2 linked regions of the Pelodiscus sinensis genome follow. The protein of the gene in region 2 interacts with the protein of the main gene of each other region in a biochemical or structural test. Links are inferred from orthologs where the notes say so. Each region holds a gene or a part of one and is shown on either strand. Other genes may lie near its edges.

What was found.
Region 1: the proteins of RP2 (region 2) and ARL3 form a complex in vitro, tested with the Homo sapiens proteins (2 studies listed by BioGRID). The link is inferred for Pelodiscus sinensis from reciprocal best matches to the Homo sapiens genes RP2 and ARL3.

What each region holds. Positions count from the first base shown.
Region 1 is NC_134718.1:72,680,759-72,688,849, reverse strand, and holds the start of ARL3 (ADP-ribosylation factor-like protein 3), read right to left. Parts: upstream 3,030-8,091; 5' UTR 2,888-3,029; coding exon 2,885-2,887; intron 1-2,884. UniProt on the Homo sapiens protein: Small GTP-binding protein which cycles between an inactive GDP-bound and an active GTP-bound form, and the rate of cycling is regulated by guanine nucleotide exchange factors (GEF) and GTPase-activating proteins (GAP).
Region 2 is NC_134711.1:225,182,564-225,190,124, forward strand, and holds the start of RP2 (protein XRP2), read right to left. Parts: upstream 3,097-7,561; 5' UTR 3,025-3,096; coding exon 2,911-3,024; intron 1-2,910. UniProt on the Homo sapiens protein: Acts as a GTPase-activating protein (GAP) involved in trafficking between the Golgi and the ciliary membrane.

The sequences.
Region 1 (8,091 bases), on a different chromosome or scaffold from region 2:
TCTAGAGAACATGACCTATGAAGCCAGGCTTCATGAACTGGGCTTGTTTAGTTTGGAAAAAAGAAGATTAAGGGGGGACATGATAGCGGTTTTCAAATATCTAAAAGGGTGTCACAAGGAGGAAGGAGAAAATTTGTTCCTCTTGGTTTCTGAGGACAGGACAAGGAGTAATGGGCTTAAAGTGCAGCAGGGGAGGTTTAGCTTGGACATTAGGAAAAAATTCCTAACTGTCAGGGTGGTCAAATATTGGAATAAATTGCCAAGGGAGGTGGTGGAATCTCCCTCTCTGGAGATATTTAAGAACAGGTTAGATAGACATCTGACAGGGATGGTGTAGACGGAGCTTGGTCCTGCCTTGAGGGCGGGGGGCTGGACTCGATGACCTCTCGAGGTCCCTTCCAGTCCTATTATTCTATGATTCTATGACTCCTGCCTCTGATCAGCCCATGGTACAAGCCTCCATTGTCCATTTGTTAAATTTCAGGACAAGCATTTTTGTGCTTTCTTCTAATCAGACTTAGGAAGATTTCCTGTAAACATCTGCAGAGCTACCTCATTCGCCTTCTTCAAAACCCTCCTTTTCCATTATGTCTACAAAAGTATTGACCACACTTTTAAGTTGTGCCAAGATCACTGCCTTCCATGCTGACCAGCATTGTCTCGTTTCCCTGTACTCTCCCACTGGTCTATCTTCATCTGCGGTCTCTTATTTTAGGCTGTAAGCTCCTAGTTCCTTTCCCTATCTTTTTGTTCTGTGTTTGTACAGTGCCTAGCACAGTGGGGTCCTCACCCATAACTGAGGCTCCTGCACTCTGCAGTAGTGAGTAATAATAATTCTAAAATCATTGCTTAAGACAGAGGATGCCAGCAGGAAGGTTTCACTGCATTTATATAGTATTTGCCAGTTCGGATCAAACAAATGGTCTACTGAGTCTAATATGCCATCAGTGGTGGCTAGTAGCTGATGTTTCATTCCTAGTTCATTGTGTAATTCTGTACACAGCGTGTAAGGGTGCACACTTACTGCAGCCGATTAGCTGATGCCCTGAAGAAGTCTGATTACCTTTCTCTTAGCCTGCATAACTATCGCTGTTATATAAAAGCACTAAACCTTTTTCAAAACAATGGGAGCATCTTAATCTATTAAGCACAGGTTATTCAGTACTACTACTAACACAGGCAAAATTAACTCAATTACTTGTTATGCAAACTCTAGACTATGATATCAATCAATGCATACATTTTCCCCCCTGCATTTGCTGGAGTCAATTCACCTAGAATGTTTTTCCCGCTCAAATCCACAGACATAGTTTTCTTGCAAAAGTGGTCCTACAAAATGTAATTAAATGTCAACACAGATGTTGGAAGCTGTTAATCTTTTTCCTTCATCGTTTGTCAGCATATCCCAAACTTTACAAAGCAGAAGTGCAACTTTGTCAGCAACCACTGCCCAAGTGAAAGCGTAGTTTGTGGAGTGCTACACTGCATTATGTAATTGCCCTCATCTTAAAGCAGATGTATTTCCTGCGATGAACACTGTGTCTAGTATGTAAAGCTGCCCCACCATCAACTAACCAGCAAAGGAGCAGAGTCCCTACCTAATCTTTGTCTCCACATCTTTTATGATAGGTCAGGGTAAAGCATTGCAGGCTAGAATGGGTGAGGAATATAGCATGCAACATCATCACAGTAAAGATGCTGCATGTGCTATGTTCCTAGCATGCTATCCTTGTAGCTCCACAAATAGGGGAAATATGGTTGCCCCTTGCCCTGGACCAATATGTGCAAAACTAGGCCCACATCTCTATGGACCAGAGGACTGAATGCAGCCCCCTATATGTAGGGTTACTGGAAGCTGTTCATCCCTTTGTCCCATTGTCATAAGCTTGTCCCTTTAGTTTCTGCACACAGCCAGCAAACCCACCATCCTGCCCTAAGGCTAGTCCTCCTGCCCCTGCACACGGTGGGATGGGATGCTTCCCTGCAGCAGTTGTCTCAGCCCCTTCCCACCCTCGCCCCGTATGCCTGAAACTTCTGAGTGCCTGCCTGTCCTTTCCCTTTCAAGAAGGCTCCCAGGCCGGTTCCCCATTCCTCCCTCCCTCCCTCTTCATAGCACTCCAGCACCCATCCTACCCTCTTCATCCAGGCCTGGCTCTCAGAACCCCAGGCCCCAACACTGCTTCCTCCCCACCCAGGCTGACCCCTCCAGTCCCTTCCTCATCTAGACTGGACCCCCATCCCTCTCTCCATAGCACCTTAACCCCCCACCCCATCTCATCACCACCCATCTCTCCCCAGCCTGGCTGTGACCCTCAGATCCCCACCCTCCCCCCAGGCTCAGTCCCAACACCCCAGTCTCCCCTTCCCACCTCCCCCTGAGGCTCGGTCCCAACACCCCAGCCCCCCCCCTCCCCAGGCTCAGTCCCAACACCCCCTTTTCCCCTTCCAGGCTCGGTCCCAACACCCCAGCTCCCCCTCCCCCCCAGGATCGGTCCACACCCCAGCCCCCCCTCCCCCCCAGGATCGACCCCAGCCTCCCCCCAGGCTGGGTACCAACACCCCCTCCCCCCCAGGCTCGGTCCACACCCCAGCCCCCCCTCCCCCCCAGGCTCGACCCCAGCCCCCCCCCAGGCTGGGTACCAACACCCCCTCCCCCCCAGGCTCGGTCCACACCCCAGCCCCCCCTCCCCCCCAGGCTCGACCCCAGCCCCCCCAGGCTGGGTCCACACCCCCGCCCCCCCTCCCCCCCAGGCTCGACCCCAGCCCCCCCAGGCTGGGTCCACACCCCAGCCCCTCCCTGGCTCTCCATATCACCCGAGCCCCCCCAGCCAGGCTGCCCCCCGCCCCTCCCCCACACGGCAGGACCCTCCCTGGCCGCACTCACCATCCTCCGCGCGGCTCCCGGGTTACCATGGGCAACTGCGTCATGCGCGCCGCCCCCTTCGTGCAACGTCACTCTTCTCTGCGGCACGCACTAGCGGCAAGGGGGCGGGGACAGACGTAAGCCCCGCCCCCTGGCGATCCCCCCCTCCCCTCCTTCTCCCCGAGCAGGGCGGCCCCTGTCCGGCGCATGCGTCTTAAACCGCCTTGGCTCCCAGGTCCCATGCTGACGCGAGCAAGGTGGGAGGCTGGCTCTGATTGGCTGACAAGGGCCACGCGTTAGGGAGAGGGGCGGTGAAAACCACGTGTGCCGGAGAGAGGGAGAGGGGCGCGTGCCTGGGCTGCGGAGGTAGGGAGCAGGGAAGGAGCCTAATGGGGAGGGGTTTAGAGGGAGAGCGGTGCACCAGTGCAGGGCTCAGGGGTACTGCACTGCAAGGGGGGCTGCAGGGGGGGGGGCAGTGCAAGGCTGAAGGGGCCTGGAAGGCTGCAATGGGGGCTGCAGTGGGGGGGCAGTGCAAGCATCAAGGGGCCTGGAAGGCTGCAATGGGGGCTGCAGTGGGGGGGCAGTGCAAGCATCAAGGGGCCTGGAAGGCTGCAATGGGGGCTGCAGGGGGGGGGGCAGTGCAAGCATCAAGGGGCCTGGAAGGCTGCAATGGGGGCTGCAGGGGGGGGGCAGTGCAAGCATCAAGGGGCCTGGAAGGCTGCAATGGGGGCTGCAGGGGGGGGGCAGTGCAAGCATCAAGGGGCCTGGAAGGCTGCAATGGGGGCTGCAGTGGGGGGGCAGTGCAAGCATCAAGGGGCCTGGAAGGCTCCAATGGGGGCTGCAGGGGGGGGGGCAGTGCAAGCATCAAGGGGCCTGGAAGGCTGCAATGGGGGCTGCAGGGGGGGGGGCAGTGCAAGCATCAAGGGGCCTGGAAGGCTGCAATGGGGGCTGCAGGGGGGGGGGCAGTGCATGCATCAAGGGGCCTGGAAGGCTGCAATGGGGGCTGCAGTGGGAGGGGGGCAGTGCATGCATCAAGGGGCCTGGAAGGCTCCAATGGGGGCTGCAGGGGGGGGGGGGCAGTGCAAGCATCAAGGGGCCTGGAAGGCTCCAATGGGGGCTGCAGGGGGGGGGGGCAGTGCATGCATCAAGGGGCCTGGAAGGCTCCAATGGGGGCTGCAGTGGGAGGGGGGCAGTGCATGCATCAAGGGGCCTGGAAGGCTCCAATGGGGGCTGCAGGGGGGGGGGGCAGTGCAAGCATCAAGGGGCCTGGAAGGCTCCAATGGGGGCTGCAGTGGGAGGGGGGCAGTGCAAGCATCAAGGGGCCTGGAAGGCTGCAATGGGGGCCGCAGGGGGGGGGGGCAGTGCAAGCATCAAGGGGCCTGGAAGGCTGCAATGGGGGCTGCAGGGGGGGGGGGGCAGTGCAAGCATCAAGGGGCCTGGAAGGCTCCAATGGGGGCTGCAGGGGGGGGGGGGCAGTGCAAGCATCAAGGGGCCTGGAAGGCTCCAATGGGGGCTGCAGTGGGAGGGGGGCAGTGCAAGCATCAAGGGGCCTGGAAGGCTCCAATGGGGGCTGCAGTGGGGGGGGGCAGTGCAAGCATCAAGGGGCCTGGAAGGCTCCAATGGGGGCTGCAGTGGGAGGGGGGCAGTGCAAGCATCAAGGGGCCTGGAAGGCTGCAATGGGGGCTGCAGGGGGGGGGGCAGTGCAAGCATCAAGGGGCCTGGAAGGCTGCAATGGGGGTTGCAGGGGGGGGGGCAGTGCAAGCATCAAGGGGCCTGGAAGGCTGCAATGGGGGCTGCAGGGGGGGGGGCAGTGCAAGCATCAAGGGGCCTGGAAGGCTGCAATGGGGGCTGCAGGGGGGGGGGGGCAGTGCATGCATCAAGGGGCCTGGAAGGCTGCAATGGGGGCTGCAGGGGGGGGGGGGCAGTGCATGCATCAAGGGGCCTGGAAGGCTGCAATGGGGGCTGCAGTGGGGGGGGGGGCAGTGCAAGCATCAAGGGGCCTGGAAGGCTGCAATGGGGGCTGCAGGGGGGGGGGGGCAGTGCAAGCATCAAGGGGCCTGGAAGGCTCCAATGGGGGCTGCAGGGGGGGGGGGGCAGTGCAAGCATCAAGGGGCCTGGAAGGCTGCAATGGGGGCTGCAGTGGGGGGGGGGCAGTGCAAGCATCAAGGGGCCTGGACGGCTCCAATGGGGGCTGCAGGGGGGGGGGGGCAGTGCAAGCATCAAGGGGCCTGGAAGGCTGCAATGGGGGCTGCAGTGGGAGGGGGGCAGTGCATGCATCAAGGGGCCTGGAAGGCTGCAATGGGGGCTGCAGTGGGGGGGGGGCAGTGCAAGCATCAAGGGGCCTGGACGGCTCCAATGGGGGCTGCAGGGGGGGGGGGGCAGTGCAAGCATCAAGGGGCCTGGAAGGCTCCAATGGGGGCTGCAGGGGGGGGGGCAGTGCATGCATCAAGGGGCCTGGAAGGCTCCAATGGGGGCTGCAGTGGGAGGGGGGCAGTGCAAGCATCAAGGGGCCTGGAAGGCTCCAATGGGGGCTGCAGGGGGGGGGGGGCAGTGCAAGCATCAAGGGGCCTGGAAGGCTCCAATGGGGGCTGCGGGGGGGGGGGGGCAGTGCAAGCATCAAGGGGCCTGGAAGGCTCCAATGGGGGCTGCAGTGGGGGGGGGGGCAGTGCAAGCATCAAGGGGCCTGGAAGGCTCCAATGGGGGCTGCGGGGGGGGGGGGCAGTGCAAGCATCAAGGGGCCTGGAAGGCTCCAATGGGGGCTGCAGGGGGGGGGGGCAGTGCAAGCATCAAGGGGCCTGGACGGCTCCAATGGGGGCTGCAGGGGGGGGGGGCAGTGCAAGCATCAAGGGGCCTGGAAGGCTCCAATGGGGGCTGCGGGGGGGGGGGGGCAGTGCAAGCATCAAGGGGCCTGGACGGCTCCAATGGGGGCTGCAGGGGGGGGGGGCAGTGCAAGCATCAAGGGGCCTGGAAGGCTGCAATGGGGGCTGCAGGGGGGGGGGGGCAGTGCATGCATCGAGGGGCCTGGAAGGCTGCAATGGGGGCTGCAGGGGGGGGGGGCAGTGCATGCATCGAGGGGCCTGGAAGGCTCCAATGGGGGCTGCAGGGGGGGGGGGCAGTGCATGCATCGAGGGGCCTGGAAGGCTGCAATGGGGGCTGCAGTGGGGGGGGGGCAGTGCAAGCATCAAGGGGCCTGGAAGGCTCCAATGGGGGCTGCAGTGGGGGGGGGGCAGTGCAAGCATCAAGGGGCCTGGAAGGCTCCAATGGGGGCTGCAGGGGGGGGGGCAGTGCATGCATCAAGGGGCCTGGAAGGCTCCAATGGGGGCTGCAGTGGGAGGGGGGCAGTGCATGCATCAAGGGGCCTGGAAGGCTGCAATGGGGGCTGCAGTGGGGGGGGGGGCAGTGCAAGCATCAAGGGGCCTGGAAGGCTGCAATGGGGGCCGCAGGGGGGGGGGGGGGGCAGTGCAAGCATCAAGGGGCCTGGAAGGCTCCAATGGGGGCTGCAGTGGGAGGGGGGCAGTGCAAGCATCAAGGGGCCTGGAAGGCTGCAATGGGGGCTGCAGGGGGGGGGGGCAGTGCATGCATCGAGGGGCCTGGAAGGCTGCAATGGGGGCTGCAGGGGGGGGGGGCAGTGCATGCATCGAGGGGCCTGGAAGGCTCCAATGGGGGCTGCAGGGGGGGGGGGCAGTGCATGCATCGAGGGGCCTGGAAGGCTGCAATGGGGGCTGCAGTGGGGGGGGGGCAGTGCAAGCATCAAGGGGCCTGGAAGGCTCCAATGGGGGCTGCAGTGGGGGGGGGGCAGTGCAAGCATCAAGGGGCCTGGAAGGCTCCAATGGGGGCTGCAGGGGGGGGGGCAGTGCATGCATCAAGGGGCCTGGAAGGCTCCAATGGGGGCTGCAGTGGGAGGGGGGCAGTGCATGCATCAAGGGGCCTGGAAGGCTGCAATGGGGGCTGCAGTGGGGGGGGGGCAGTGCAAGCATCAAGGGGCCTGGAAGGCTGCAATGGGGGCCGCAGGGGGGGGGGGGGGGCAGTGCAAGCATCAAGGGGCCTGGAAGGCTCCAATGGGGGCTGCAGTGGGAGGGGGGCAGTGCAAGCATCAAGGGGCCTGGAAGGCTCCAATGGGGGCTGCAGGGGGGGGGGGCAGTGCAAGCATCAAGGGGCCTGGAAGGCTGCAATGGGGGCTGCAGGGGGGGGGGGCAGTGCAAGCATCAAGGGGCCTGGAAGGCTGCAATGGGGGCTGCAGGGGGGGGGGGGCAGTGCAAGCATCAAGGGGCCTGGAAGGCTCCAATGGGGGCTGCAGGGGGGGGGGGGCAGTGCAAGCATCAAGGGGCCTGGAAGGCTGCAATGGGGGCTGCAGTGGGGGGGGGGCAGTGCAAGCATCAAGGGGCCTGGAAGGCTCCAATGGGGGCTGCAGGGGGGGGGGGGCAGTGCAAGCATCAAGGGGCCTGGAAGGCTCCAATGGGGACTGCAGTGGGGGGGGGCAGTGCAAGCATCAAGGGGCCTGGAAGGCTCCAATGGGGGCTGCAGGGGGGGGGGGGCAGTGCAAGCATCAAGGGGCCTGGAAGGCTCCAATGGGGGCTGCAGTGGGGGGGGGGCAGTGCAAGCATCAAGGGGCCTGGAAGGCTCCAATGGGGGCTGCGGGGGGGGGGGGCAGTGCAAGCATCAAGGGGCCTGGAAGGCTGCAATGGGGGTTGCAGGGGGGGGGGGCAGTGCAAGCATCAAGGGGCCTGGAAGGCTCCAATGGGGGCTGCGGGGGGGGGGGGGCAGTGCAAGCATCAAGGGGCCTGGACGGCTCCAATGGGGGCTGCAGGGGGGGGGGGCAGTGCAAGCATCAAGGGGCCTGGAAGGCTGCAATGGGGGCTGCAGGGGGGGGGGGCAGTGCATGCATCGAGGGGCCTGGAAGGCTCCAATGGGGGCTGCAGGGGGGGGGGGCAGTGCATGCATCGAGGGGCCTGGAAGGCTGCAATGGGGGCTGCAGTGGGGGGGGGGCAGTGCAAGCATCAAGGGGCCTGGAAGGCTCCAATGGGGGCTGCAGTGGGGGGGGGGCAGTGCAAGCATCAAGGGGCCTGGAAGGCTCCAATGGGGGCTGCAGTGGGGGGGGGCAGTGCAAGCATCAAGGGGCCTGGAAGGCTCCAATGGGGGCTGCAGTGGGGGGGGGGGCAGTGCAAGCATCAAGGGGCCTGGAAGGCTCCAATGGGGGCTGCAGTGGGGGGGGGGGCAGTGCAAGCATC
Region 2 (7,561 bases):
CCCATAAATGTTTACTACTATTTCTCAACACAATGCAAAACAAAAAAGTAGTATTGACTACAACTGGCAGCCAATACAAAAAGACAAAGAGAAAGGGTAATGAATATTTGAAGCAGTTTCTATATACCTTTCTTGAGACATTCAAAAGTTAAATATTTAATCCTGCGGTTTTCAGTATGGTCCTCTGAACTCAGAAGACAGAAGTCATTGCATGTGATATCTGAAAAGAGGAAGCCCTTGCACAATTGGCTATAAACATTATGTGCAACAACTTTATATTTAATAATGAGATTCTCTTTCATACAGAGAACTGTTTAAAATTTTGTAATCTATTAGAGACTTTACAAACATTAACTTCAAATGTACTCTACTGTAATGTCTGAGACACTGTTCCTAATGTGGTAATATATTCACCTCCGAGAAATCAGCTCAGCATAACACCGAAGGGGTGGGCAGGCAGGAGGGCTCAGGGAGGAGCATAGAATTTTCTCTTAATGACTTGTTTTGACTTTCCTCTTTCCCCAGGGCTAGCCAGTAACTGTAACTATCAATTCATATTAAACTTATTCTTGTTGCTGAAAATAACAGGCTCAAAAATGTAGTTGACTAATTTAATTGTTTTAACTTTAAATGAGATTAATATTTTGGTGACTTCTGTAGTACCCTTTTACAAGTAAAAACCACTCTAAGTAGTAGTAACTGCTAACAGTAACACTGTGGCAAGGGAATAACATCTATAAGTAACATGGTCTCCCTCCTCCCTATGCAAGCACTGTATTAGGCAAGCTGTGCCATAAGTATTCACTAGGAAATCGAAGTATCAGGTCAGTCATGAGGTAGCCTCCTTTGTCCTTATCCTCCAAGATTTGTACATACTTAACCCCGAATCTTGGAATAATCCACTAGAAAGCTTTGTGTGTCACACCAGGGCATCTGGCCACATTTAAAAAGAAATCAAGTACGCAATATTTAAAGTTTATACCGTTTTTCTCTTTATGGCTCATAAAAGTGGCCTGTTTTTTGTTTTAACACATGCACAAAATGAATGTCTAGATTGCTCTATTTTTTCCAGGAAGTCTTAGCTATAGATGACTGGAAAACTAGCAGGATTATGACATCACAAGTACCAAGGAAGTGAAACATGAAGTGACAAATGAAAGAAGGATTTTTATTCACATTCTTTTTTGTTGAAAGAGAGAGCGCGCTCTCTCCCTCTCATATCCTGTCACTTTTTGAGCTGAAGCTCTACTTCTGAGCCTCCAAAAGGACCTCCAGCAAATAAAAGTAAAGAGTGTCAGGGGAATATAAAACACCACTTAAGAGAATATAACATGCAAGTTTAAAAAAAAAAGCCTTCCACATATGCTTGACACCTCATAATAGCTATAGGGTTGCCAGGCTGCCTCCGCATTGAGCCGGACAGGATGGGATTTTTGCCTCCTGGCGGGGGGAGGGGGGGGGGGAAATCAGAAAGTATCGGACATTTTAGGTGTCTGGTATTTTTTGAGTTTTTTTTACCAGACAGGAGGCGAAAATACCAAACTCTCTGGTTTAATACCAGACACCTGGCAACCCTAAATAGCTAGGTTAACTTTAAATATGCCTGGGTAAAGAGGCATTTCAATCAAGAAGTCAGTTTGGTTCTGTAGCTGCAGTTGAATTTTACTTTTTTTTCTAACTTGTGTCTAATGTACATAACATCCACCCCTTTTAATTACGGTTAGAAAGCCAGAGGATTAATAGAAATAAAGGTACAAACACAGCTTTGGCCCCATCTGCCACCGCTTACCATATAACTCAGTCACCAGCTAACTTAGTGCCAAAAAAGGAACAAGCTACAGTACCAATTAAATGGGAGAGGGTGAAAAACAGCCTCATGCTACTAGCATGTATTTTGCCCTATAAAGAATACTGTCAGAATATGGCAGCCCAGCCAGTAAGCAGTGTGTTGTGAAGAGGAGCAGTTTGCCCCAGTTGGCTATTACAGTCTACCCTAAAACAAAGGATTGGTAGGGCTACAGGTTGAAACTTTAGAGCTACAGGTTGAAATTCTCTCATCTGGCAACATCCATGGTCCAGCAGGATTTTAGTTAGCTAGATGACTATTTATTATGGTTGCTGCCAAGTTTCCCCGCAGTCCCATAATGTTTGTTTACAGCCACCAGTCCTAGCTCTGTGTTCTGTGCTATTATTTAGCTCTAATTTACCCCTAATTGTTTTCCAAGAGCTCAGTAAACAGTGGAAGTGCTGGTAATGTTGCTAGAGAAAACTCAACTTCCATGGTCTGGAAAATAAAATGCTCTGGATCAGCATTGGTCAGGCCCTGAGGGTGCCAGACTAGAGAGGTTCAACCTGTACTCAACCTACCCAGTGTCTGACTTATCCCATTTTTCATGGGCAGCCCTCAGCTCTGAAATCCATTCCTCCCCCTTTGGCACGCTAGCGTTCACATCGCCTGCTTCTCATGGGGACGATGCTACCACGCCCAGACAAGTATAACAAGGAACAGAAGTGGAAGCCAGCACTTGGTCCGCAGGATGGGGAAAGCGCAAGCTCCCTCCCCACGGAAGGCTACGCGGGCAATTTACGATGATGAGGAGAAGGAGCAGTAGCAAGAGTCGCATTAAGCCTGGCAAATATCAAACGCTGCTGCCCAGGGTGAGCGTCAGCGACAGTCCCAGGGGAGTGGCGGGGACAATCTCACTTTCTGAAGCGCCCGGGAGACCGCGGAGGCAACTTCCCGACCCGAAAGCAGAGCCCCGCCACCTTGCGGGGGAGGGGAAGGGGGGGCGGGGGCTAGACCAGCTACGGCAGAGCCGGGTCCGCCACAGCCCCACGGGAGCAGCACGAGCGCCGGGAAAACCGCCCGCCAGGGAGCACCGGAGGGGGGGGGGTCGGGGGCAGCGTTACCTTGTCGCGCTGGTCCCAGCTGTACTGCGGCTTCTCCTCGCCCGCGGCCGGGGGCTCCTGGCCCTGCGCGCCCCCCTTCGCCGCTTTCCGCCGCTTGGAGAAGAAGCAGCCCATGGCCCCGCCGCGCGCCTGCTGCCTCCCAGCCTGCGCCTCCCGGCAGCCAGCCGCCCCCGACGCGCTCCTCGCGCTCGCGCGCGCCACCGCCCACTTCCGGCTTCTCCTAGTCCCGTCTCCCTTGGCTACGGCAACCCGGCACCCAATCACAGCTCTGCGCCTTGGAGCCGGTCCCGCCAATCCGCGTCGCCCCCCCCGCGCTAGCCGCTCTTAAGGGGATAGGCGCCGCGTTTGGTCTGGCCCCGCCTCCTGCCCTGCCCCCGGGGAGGCGGGGGAGGCAAGGACGTAAACACATTCCACCCCCCCCCCCACACACACACACTCTCCTCCTCCCCTCCCCCCCCCACTCTCCGCCACGCCTGTCTCCTCAGTTCCCATCGGGCTGGCTGAAGAGTCACAGCACAAACCGTGCGGCAGGCACCTTGATCCGGCAGCACAGCCCCCCCCCCCAGCAGCGGGGGCCCCTGCCCTGCCAGCCACAGCACCGCCTGCCTGGGGGCGGGTCTCTGGGGGCGCGTTGTGACAGGCCAGCGCCTGCAGCCACAGCTCAGCACCTGACTGGCCCAGGGCCGCCGGGCGCCACTGGCTGAAAACCCTTCCGCGATTCTACAGAGCAGCGCGCAGCAGCGTCCACGGGGAGAGAGGGGCTGGTCTGCTCCTGTTGCCACCCCCTAGAATGTTTAGAAGGAAGCTCCCAGCCATCTTCAAGCTTTACAGCAGGACTCGCAATTTCTTTACAAAAAAAAAAAAACAACAAACCCTCAGATTTTTGTCTTAATCCTGTGATTCATAGACTCATAGGGCTCGTCGACATTGGCCCCTTTTCCGGAAGGGGCATGCTAATTTTTCAGATCATAATAGGGAAATCTGCGGGGGATTTAAATACCCCCCCGCAACATTTAAATAAAAATGTCCGCCACTTTTTTTCCGGCTTTTAGAAAAGCCGGAAAAGAGCGTCTATACTGGCCCCGATCCGGCCTGATCCTCTGGAAAAAAGCCCTTTTCCGGAGGATCTCTTATTCCTACTTCAAAGTAGGAACTGATATTTAAATCCCCCGCGGATTTCCCTATTACGACCTGTCAAATTAGCATGCCCCTTCCGGAAAAGGGGCCAATGTAGACGTAGCCATAGACTTTAAGGTCAGAAGGGACCATTATGATCATCTAGTCTGACCCCCTGCACAGTGCAGGCCACAAAATCTCACCCACCCCTCCTAGAATAATCCTCTCACCTATATCTCAGATATTGAAGCCTTCAAATACTTTGAAGACCCCAGGATGCAGAGAATCCTCCAGCTGTGATCTGTACCCCATGCTACAGAGGAAGGCGAAAAACCTCCAGGGCCTCTGCCAATCTACCCTGGAGGAAAATTCCTTCCCAACCCCAAATATGGCGATCAGCTAAACCCTGAGCATGTGGGCAAGACTCATCAGCCAGACACCCAGAAAGTTCTCTATAGTAACTCCTATCATCCCTCCATTGACCTATTTCCCACTGATAATGAATGGTCAATTAGTTACCAAGATCATGTTATTTCATCAAACCATCCCCTTCATAAACCCATCTAGTTTAATCTTGAAACCAGATAGATCTTTTGCCCCCACTACTTCCCTTGGAAGGCCGTTCCAGAACTTCACTCCTCTAATGGTTAGAAACCTTCGTCTAATCTCAAGTCTAAACTTCCTACTAGCCAGCTTATATCCATTTGTTCTTGTGTCCACATTGGTATTAAACTTAAATAATTCCTCTCCCTCCCTGGTATTTATCCCTCTAATATATTTAAAAAGTGCAATCATGTCCCCCCTCAGCCTTCTTTTGGTTAAAGTAAACGAGCCAAGCTCCTTGAGTCTCCTTTCATAAGACAGGTTTTCCATTCCTCCGATCATCCTAGTGGCCCTTCTTTGTACCTGTTCCAGTTTGAATTCATCCTTCTTATACATGGGAGACCAGAACTGCACACAGTATTCCAAATGGGGTCTCACCAATGCCTTGTATAATGGCACTAACACCTCCTTATCCCTACTGGAAATACCTCGCCTAATACATCCCAAGATCGTATTAGCCTTTTTCACGGCCATGTCACAATGGCGGCTCATAATCATTCTATAATCAACCAGGACTCTGAGGTCCTTCTCCTCCTCCGTTACTTCCAACTGATGTGTCCCCAGCTTATAACTAAAATTCTTGTTATTAATCCCTAAATGCATAACCTTACACTTCTCACTATTAAATTTCATCCTATTACTATCACTCCAATTTACAAGATCATCCAGATCTTCCTGTATGATATCCCGATCCTTTTCTGAATTGGCAATAGCTCCCAACTTTGTGTCATCCGCAAATTTTATTAGAACACTTCCACTTTTGGTGCCAAGATCAGCAATAAAAAGATTAAATAAAATTGGCCCCACAACTGATCCCTGAGGAACTCCGCTAGTAACCTTCCTCCAACCTGACAGTTCACCTTTCAATATGACCCGCTGTAGTCTCCCCTTTAACCAGTTGCTTATCCACCTCTCAACTTTCATATTAATCCCTATCTTTTCCAATTTAACCAATAATTCCCCATGTGGTACTGTATCAAATGCCTTACTAAAGTCGAGGTAGATTAGATCCACTGCATTTCCTTTATCTAAAAAATCTGTTACTTTCTCAAAAAAGGAGATCAGGTTGGTTTGGCAAGATCTACCTTTTGTAAAACCATGTTGTAATTTGTCCCAATTGCCATTAGCCTCAATGTCTCTAACTACTTTCTCCTTCAAAATTTTTTCCAGGATCTTACATACTACAGATGTCAAACTAACAGGCCTATAGTTACCCGGGTCGCTTTTTTTTCCTTTCTTAAAAATCGGAACTATATTAGCAATTCTCCAGTCAAATGGTACAACCCCTGAGTTTAGAGATTTATTAAAAAATTTTGCTAATGGACTTGCAAGTTCATGTGCCAGTTCCTTTAATATTCTTGGATGAAGATTATCTGGGCCCCCCGATTTACTCCTATTAAGCTGTTCAAGTTTGGCTTTTACCTCGGATATGGTAATATCTACCTCCTTATCTTTAGTCCCATTTGTTAACTTACCATTATCCCTAAGCTCTTCATTAGCCTCATTAAAGACTGAAGCAAAGTATTTGTTCAAATATTGGGCCATTCCTAGATTATCCTTAACCTCCACTCCATCCTTAGTAATTAGTGGTCCTACTTCTTCTTTTTTTGTTTTTTTCCTATTTATATGGCTATAAAACCTTTTACTATTGGTTTTAATTCCCTAGTTCGAACTACCGTTACTCCTCATTCCAGGAAGCCTAGTTCGAACTACCTAGTTCATGCCCCGTGTAGCCGCGTTGCACGGGGTTCGAACGAGTGGGGTTTTAAAAATGGCGGCGCCCCGCTTATGCAAATGAAGCCCAGGAAATTCAAATCCCGGGCTTCATTTGCAAGTGCGGTATGCCTACATTACCCCGCTAGTTCGAACTAGTGGGGTAGTGTAGACATACCCTGAGATGCTTGGTCTAACACACCTGCCTATAATTTTTTTCCCTTTTCTAGGGATACAGGCTTCTGACAGCTTCTGCAACTTTAACTTAAAATAATTCCAGGCCTCCTCCACTTTAAGATCCATAATTTCTTTAGTCCAATTAACTTCCCTAACTAATTTCCTTAATTTACTAAAGTTAGCTCTTTTGAAATCAAAAACCCAAGTCTCAGATTTATTTTTGTTTATCCTTCCATTTAATTTAAACTGAATTAGCTCATGATCACTCGAGACAAGGTTGTCTCCTACAACCATTTCATCTATGAGGTCTTCGCTACTCACCAAAACCAAATCTAAAATAGCATCCCCCCTTATTGGTTCAGCAACTACCTGATGAAGGAATTCATCAGCTATCACATCTAGGAAAATCTGAGCCCTAATATTATTACTAGCACTTGTTCTCCAGTCTATATCTGGAAAGTTGAAATCTCCCATGATTACGCAGTTTCCATGAGTATTTACTTCATTAAAAACATTAAAGAGGTCTCTATCCATGTCAAAATTGGATCCTGGTGGTCTATAACACACCCCAAGCACTATCCCAGGGGAGGATCTGGTAGTTTTCTTCCCCAATGTGATTTTTGCCCAAACGGACTCTGTCTTCTCCATTCCATCACTTTTTATTTCTTTACAATCTACCTCATCTTTGATATACAATGCGACTCCACCACCTTTACCCTTATTTCTGTCTTTCCTAAACAGCACATACCCTTCAATACCTGTACTCCAGTCATGCCTAGTATTCCACCATGTTTCTGTTATTCCTATAATATCTGGTTTCACTTCCTGGACCAATAACTCTAGTTCCTCCTTTTTGTTACCTAGGCTCCTCGCATTGGTGTACAAACATCTTAATTTTTGCTGTTTGGCCTCATTCACATTCTTTACCCAATTTGGCACGGACATTATACCTCCAATATGACCTATTAGACTAGTATCCACCCTACCCTTCCTCATGTTCATTCTCATACCCCCAGCTATATCCTTTCTTACTTCATTTTCC